Bombyx mori: one gene and its partner. The protein of the gene in region 2 purifies or fractionates together with the protein of the main gene of each other region. This does not show direct contact. Links are inferred from orthologs where the notes say so. Each region holds a gene or a part of one and is shown on either strand. Other genes may lie near its edges.

What was found.
Region 1: the proteins of U3 small nucleolar ribonucleoprotein protein MPP10 (region 2) and U3 small nucleolar ribonucleoprotein protein IMP3 purify together in Homo sapiens (affinity purification with mass spectrometry; 4 studies listed by BioGRID and IntAct, with this or other methods). This does not show direct contact. The link is inferred for Bombyx mori from reciprocal best matches to the Homo sapiens genes MPHOSPH10 and IMP3.

Annotation. Positions count from the first base shown.
Region 1 is NC_085121.1:982,481-986,033, forward strand, and holds U3 small nucleolar ribonucleoprotein protein IMP3, read right to left. Parts: upstream 1,998-3,553; coding exon 1,861-1,997; intron 1,559-1,860; coding exon 1,347-1,558; intron 1,308-1,346; exon of another isoform or gene 1,242-1,307; coding exon 1,066-1,241; intron 1,000-1,065; exon of another isoform or gene 870-999; intron 723-869; coding exon 699-722; 3' UTR 600-698; downstream 1-599. UniProt on the Homo sapiens protein: Component of the 60-80S U3 small nucleolar ribonucleoprotein (U3 snoRNP). Required for the early cleavages during pre-18S ribosomal RNA processing. Part of the small subunit (SSU) processome, first precursor of the small eukaryotic ribosomal subunit.
Region 2 is NC_085133.1:369,426-373,449, forward strand, and holds U3 small nucleolar ribonucleoprotein protein MPP10, read right to left. Parts: upstream 2,433-4,024; 5' UTR 2,270-2,432; coding exon 551-2,269; 3' UTR 532-550; downstream 1-531. UniProt on the Homo sapiens protein: Component of the 60-80S U3 small nucleolar ribonucleoprotein (U3 snoRNP). Required for the early cleavages during pre-18S ribosomal RNA processing. Part of the small subunit (SSU) processome, first precursor of the small eukaryotic ribosomal subunit.

The DNA of each region.
Region 1 (3,553 bases), on a different chromosome or scaffold from region 2:
GGTTAGAGCCCCGTAAGCTCACCTACTCGCCCGGTGTTGAACTGGCATAACCCCTCAAGCATAGGCAGGAAAACAACACAAACGTATTTTTAAAAGTCAAACTTCGGAACTGCGGAAATAAAGTTAGCAACTTTTGTGACAGCTTGGAAGTTAGAGTATCTAGTGGGGTCATAGATTATCTAATTGAGATTTGCTGCAAACATTTTATGGTTCTGAGATTGCAAATAATGAAACTCAAAGCAGATCATTATAAATCAAACCCAGAAAATTATAATTTGCATAATTACTGGTGGTAGGTAGGATGTCTTAGATTTTGTTGTATTTCAACAAATATTGTAAATTTTTATAGCTTATGATCAAAATGGTTACAATACAGATCATATTTAAAGTAAACCATCAACACTGGTAGATCCTGTATTAAATGAAGTTTACCTTAAGATCATTGAAGTTACACTTTAAACAAGTTATATTGGTGGAATACTATACATAGAGCACAAAGGAATGTATGTATTTTATGATTCTTTGAAAGGAAAGAATCATTTATCTATATTTTAAATAAAAATGACTTCAAGGCGAAATAAAAATTTAAACTAAAATAGTGTGCATTAAAAAGTGTATTGGTACTTTCACTTGTTGTTGTGGTAACAGTACAGAATCTTAAAATAAGTATTCTTATATAACTAAAGCCTTATATAAAATTATAACATATCGAAGTCATCTCTCTGTAAAAGAAAAAAAAAGAAATATTAGTTTAAGTTTCTTCCGTTTTATCTATGCAAACACATCCATGTCTTTGTTAATGACAATGTTATAAATAATTGATCCCTATATAATGTTTTCATTTTTTTTTAATTTCATATCAAAACCAGTGTGACATTATGCTGTGGACAAGTTCTAAAATTTATTTAATGCATTACTGCTTTCCATTTAACAAAAGTTGTTTTTCACAACTATTCTAAACCTCTACGCAGAGCTTTTTCACAATTATATTATCAATATGTAAGTAAACTTAGAAATATGAATAAACATTAAAAAGTTTAATGAATGTGTATTGTGTATACTAACCATTTCATTATATTCCAGAACATGTTTTCTTATTGCTGAACCATCAACCCATGTAACAAAGTCCTCCAGTGATCTGTTGACAAGGAATGCAGGATCCTTCACTACTTCAGGTCCCACTCTTACATGTCCTTGTTCAATAAACTTTGTGGCTTCTTTAATAGTTTCTGACATTTTATCTGTGCATTTATAAACATCAATAATTATAAATGACATTTATTAATAAAAATGCAAATTCCAAGAAATATGTTATTGTAATGTTTATTGAAACAAGTGATACTCACTTCGAACCATCAACACAGGCAGCCTTCGCCTACAGAAAGAACTGGCAGAGACATTAGTGGCCAAGGCAAGATCCCATCTTGTCGGTATCAATCCAATTTGGTAAAGTTTTTCCAAAAGTTGAGCACTTGACTCTGTCCTGAATTCATTATTTGGATCGAGGTCTTTTATCTTGTTTGCGAGCTCTCTGATATCACGAGACAATTTGTTATACCTAACAATTCACACAATAATAGTTTTAGATTTATTATTAATTGTATTTTACATCAATTAATGGACAGTTTATATCTAAAGCGGCCAAATTCCCGCTTTCTGTGGAACCCTCCTGTAGAACCAGTTGTAAATTTAGGATACTAAAGTAAAATATTTGACTCAAATACGACTTCAGTGTGCTGAATTTAGAATTTAGGCATAACGACCGATATTCCCTATTAACAAAGTCTCAGACATTTCATTTAAATAAAACTGGCTGTCTCATAATATAATACATAGCTCATAATTGCAAAATTGCCTTACTTTGTGTAATCCTCACGCTTTTGTATACAAAACTTTTTCATAACCTTCACTTCACTAATATTGTTATCCAACTTCCATGATATAAAGTCTACTTTCTTTAGCAGTTTCCCTTCATGAAATTTAAGTTTTCTGACCATTTTGGGAACACCGAGCACAAGGATATAGGTTATGTAGTGTTTCTGCTTATATAAAAAATAATAATAAAATAAAAAATGTAACAGAACATTGATTATAAAGTCGTTTGTCAAAACCAATGAAGTAGGAAACCTATGGAAATGAAACGTCAACCAAAATTTCGTGCCCCTGTGACGTCATCTGGCCACAAAACATGGCGGCTTTAGTGCTGTACAAAAGATTTCAATGTTATCAGGTTTTATCGATAAACGTTCTTGGCTCATTTTATTTTAAATATTGTTGAGTATTATTTATTTGTAGAATTTATACTTTAATGGGAAGTAAGTAGGTATATTGTTATGTGCAAATATGATATGATTTAGATGGGTGAAATCTAAGACAAGTTCGTCCTTCGAATTTGCCAAGTAAACGATATGATGATTTTTAAAAGTTGCTACATTGATTTTATAAAGTTGTCGTTTGTCGCAAAACATAAAGATATGGCGTAGTTCAAAGCCATCAGCCCATTTCTAGCATGCTAAATGTTATCGTATTTTGAGTTGTGTTTTTCTTAGGCTATAACAATCTATTTTAATTGTTTTGCTGACTCTAAAGTCCGTAACATACTACCGCAGCGCACCCCAAGGAAGGTGCGCCGCACCATTTGAATCACTTTCGCTTGAGAGTGATTCAAATTTTAAACTTATCAAGGGACCGCGTGAAAAAAAAAACACCTACAGAACATTTATTCATTAATTACAAACGTCATTCCTTGTGACTTCCTCTCTAGAATCACTTAATTATGAAATATTTAACAAATTTACAATAGTGTTTTCCTCACTGCGGAATAAAACTATTTTATTTAAATAGTTCCGAAGAGATTTTGTCGGTAGCCTTTTTCCCGAAATATCTAAACAGAATGTCTAAATATGTTTTGATGACATATTTTAAAGTGGTATTTATGATTAGTGTCATGATCAATAGATTCCGACCGAAAAATGGATTTTTCGGATGAGGGCTCCATAATGAATTTAAATACATATAGATAATAGTTTTAGGGCATCGACTTTCTTGAGATCCTATAAAATACGTTTTAATTATTATTTTTGTATGTTTTAAGCATGATAAATTATGAAATTTTATATAATCAATCATATTAAATCGATATCAAAGTCAATAAATAATGTACAACCCAAAACAGACGGCCGAACTGACGTGACAATGACATTTGGCGCGCTAAACATGGCGGATTTTCGGCCTCATTAGACGGAGACGGAGATATTTACGTATATTCATGTTTCATTTTATGTACGCACTGAAATACTGTTATATTGTTTTCCTGCGAGTTAAAGTGCTGAGTAAGAACGAGATAGATATATGTTTATGTATGTGCCTTCAAAATGGGTGCTATTTATATAAGCAATTGTACGTATAGAACAATATGTCGTGTCCCTACTATATAGGTCTATGGTCAAAACTGAGTGGTTCTACGCGCTGGAAAGGCGAAGGTATCAGACCATACTCGCCATCTTTTAAATTTTTTGTTAAATAAAATATACAAGAGTGGAGAATTATATTA
Region 2 (4,024 bases):
CGCGCGGACTCACAAGAAGTCCTACCACCCGTAATTACGCAAATTATAATTTTGCGGGTTTCATTTTTATTACACAATGTTATTCCTTCAGCGTGGAAGTCAATCATGAACATTTGTTGAGTACGTATTTCATTACAATGATATATAAGATATAAAACAGGATGAGCCCTAAAAATGACAGCATAAAATATATTTTATCAGCAGAAATAGACAAGATGATAGTACCTAATGCCTCAAACCTATCAACACCCAGGGTTCTTAATTTTCCCTAGCACCACTAATCATGGTAAAGTTAATAATCACTATCATTAGCAGCATTATATATATATATCAGACCCTTTCATTATTTCTCTGCAACCTGTATTGTATTCCTGTATTCCTGTTACATAAAAAAAGTAGACTGCAGGCTGTTGCTGATATCCATGATTAAAGTGATATTTTACCACTGCCTGCCTGCAATGGCAATGAATAAAACATAGTAGCTCTAATTCCTCATAAATACCCATGGTATGTTCCAACAAATACAAAAAATTGACAAGCCAAAAATATTTTATTGTCCCTTATTCTTAATTAATTTATTTTTCTTAATCAAGCTCTTGGTGTTATCATTTAACTGCTCAAAGAATGCTTTTGAAGTCTTCACTGATTTGTCACTGACTTCTACACTCTTTGTAGTATTCCTGCTGTCTGTTACTTTTGTAACCTGTCCTTTTTTCTTCTGCAATTTCTTCTTTTTCCTTCTTTCTCTATTTTTGTCTGTCTTTGTTCTCTCTTCTTTGCTAATAAGATCTCCTTTCTGTTTTCTCTTAATTTCTTCGGGAGCCAATAGCGCTGCATCACTGGTAGCTACTGGAGCCACCTCCTCCATCGATATTGCTGGAGTATTTGATACAATTGTCACTTCAGGCTGTACAGCTTTCGGTGTGTAGTGATAATGACTCAGTGCATCTAATTTTGAGAATAACTGTGACATGGCTTCTCGAATTTCTTTATGTGCTTCTGGTTCTTTTTCTTCTACAATCTCTCCTGATGCTGCCTGTTTCTGTTTTAAGTACTCCGCCTCATAGACTTGAGCTAAGCTTAGCTTGCTCTTTGAATGATCTAGAATTTCCTTCTTTCGGAATGCCAGTTGGTCATCAACTGGCTTTTCTTTTTTAACAACATCATCCCAAGCTTTATCTTTGATTCTACGTTTAATTATGTCTTCTAAAGAAACTGTGGTCTGTTCAGTTATAATTGGAGCTGGACGTGTTGTTAAATCAAAATCCACAACTTCTTGAAGAAGTGAGTTTTGAGGACGTTTCGATGCATCCACTTCACCTTTGAGTTGCCAAGAGGCTTCTTTCAAAGTCTTTTCCTCTAGTCGTTGAATGTGTTGTTTTAGTCTTTGCTGGCGTTGCTCAAACTCAGACTGTTTTTCTTCAATTGTTTTACTATTTACTTTATTATTTTTGTTACTATCAACTGAATTGTCATCTGAATCATCAATAGATGGTTGTGAGAATCGGACTTGCTTTTTTTTATTTGACTGCTCTGTAACCTCCTCTTCTTCATCTTCAACTGAATCATCTATTTCCTGGTCCATATCATAGTCCCCATCTTCAGCACCATCTTGATCAAAAAAGTCATTATACATGACATTTTCATCTTCCTCCTCCTCATTGTCATCTTCGAAGAAATCTATAGACTCCTCATCACTGTCACGATCACCTTTGGTTCTATTTGTTTGTTTTTTTTCTTCTTTCAATAAAAACTCTTCCATTTCGGAAAGTTTGAAAAACTTGTCATCCACCTGCGAAGGCCTGGTTTTCTTTTTTGGTACATCACTTTGAACTCGTTGAGATCTGCCATGCTCAAGTTCAATATTCTCAGATACTTTTTCTCCATCATCTTCTACCATAGGTTCAACACCATGAGGTAAGATCTCCTTGGGTTTTTCTTTAGCAACTTTTATGGGAAATACTAATTCGTTATTTGCGCTCATAGAGTTGGCCACCTCCCACACTATCTGGTCCCAGCGTTGGGAGTTCTGCAGCTCTATCTGTTGCCATATCTGCTCCTCATCAAAATCTTCCACAATTAATTCCTTTAAGGCCCCACTCTTCTTCTTCTTATCGCTCTTCTCCTGAGATTTCGTGTAATCGTATACCGATTTTACAAACCTTTTTAGGTCCTCTTTCAACTCTTTTTGCACAGACAAAAATTTTACTGGTTTATCAGTGTAACTGTTGAATTTATTAAGTATACCTTCCAAATCTATGCAAGCCATTTTACTGTAATAAATATGATAATTTTATCTTTAATGTGTCATGTAAAATTTAAGATACGGAATTACTGAAACTACCAAAGAAAACAAATCGCTGCAAAACCAAAAAACACACGCGGTGCATTATTTTGACGTTTGATCTAATGGTAGCATTGGCAACTAAATGACACATTGGTCTATTTGACATTTTTGTATTTTTTCATTCGTCCATTGAAAGGCCAAGAAAACATAGGCTATTTAAAAGAAATCTGTCACGGCAAAAATATAATCTTGGAATCAAATATGGCATTAAAAATGTAAAGAGGGTGATGACCTTACAATAATTAATTCATTGCTCGCATGCTCGCCAAAAAATAATTTGATCTAAAATGTTATTACAAATCAGAATGTTCTGTTCATAGTAAATGGTGCACATCTATAGTTTTAAAAGGGCCAATGTATATTTTATACCTCTTGGTATCCATGGGACCAATACAACCAACAAAAAATAAAGTTTATGGTAATGTAAGTAGGGATGGTCTGTAACAGATGAAATCAGAGACCTGTTCCACCTGTTCCTGTTCCATTGAAAGAACAGTTCCAGTAGCCTGTTCCAATATAACAGCTTGTTGTGTTACAACAGGCTTAATAATGTTTGAAGGGTGGAGCAGCCGTTGTACCTGAGACCTTAGAACCTTTATATCAAGATGTCTATGGGCTCCAGTAACCATTTAACACCAGGTGGGCTGTGAGCCCATCCACCCATCTAAACACTAAATATATAAATAAAGTAGAATATATTCCACATAAAGGAACAGTCACACATATGGAATGGTTTCAATACATTTTTTTAAATGTAAATAATCCTTCATGCTTTCTCAGGCTTAGGACTGACAACTTGGTTTATTAATATTAATAATATGTGAAACTAGTTTTGCCAAAATGTATTTAAATTAAAACATATAGCCCATATAAGCATGCCAGACCTAAAACAGAATAGACAAGTTCAGAAGTTTGGACTTAGTAAGCGTTCGGATACATGCTAGGCCTTTTAACTCAATTAAATATTTTTACCACCATAATAACAACTGTCTATTAATCATTTTAAAAGTATATTATCTTCAAATTTTAAGCAAGACATTACAAATAATACCATATTTTAAATGATATATAATATAACAGAGTACATTTATTATTGTATATAATAATTTATGCGTGTATCCGAATGTATTTACTAATACCAAAGGGGAATATGCATGCATGTTAATGTTATTGCTATTTTTTTTTCTATTACAATAAGTGAAAGGAGAAAAGAGCATGATACAAACAGTTTGGGAACATGATGTATATGCCATCTTTTTCTATTTCTATACGGGAAAAGAAAAAAGAGCTTGTTCCAAACAGTTTCGTTTCTGGCTGTTTGCTGTGGAACGGAACAACGCAACATATGGAATATTGTGGAACAGCTGGAACAGTTTGAACAGTTGGATCAGTTGTTTCGGTCTATAGACAACAGTTCCAAGTCTTTTCATAGACGAACCTATGAAAAGAAAACCTGTTCCGTTTGACTGTTCCGATAAATACGCCTCACCCCTAATTGTGAGGTGTTTTGTTTATTCTATGGCGACGTTGCTTTAAGTTTTGACATGGACTTTTTGACGGGAACGCGAGGAGTGAAGTTGTGTGAATTGTTTTATTTTGTCTGTTTGGTGTTTCTTCAGGTTTAAATGTGTAATAACGGTGGTTTTTTAACTGTTTAATATCTGTAAAAGTGCACAA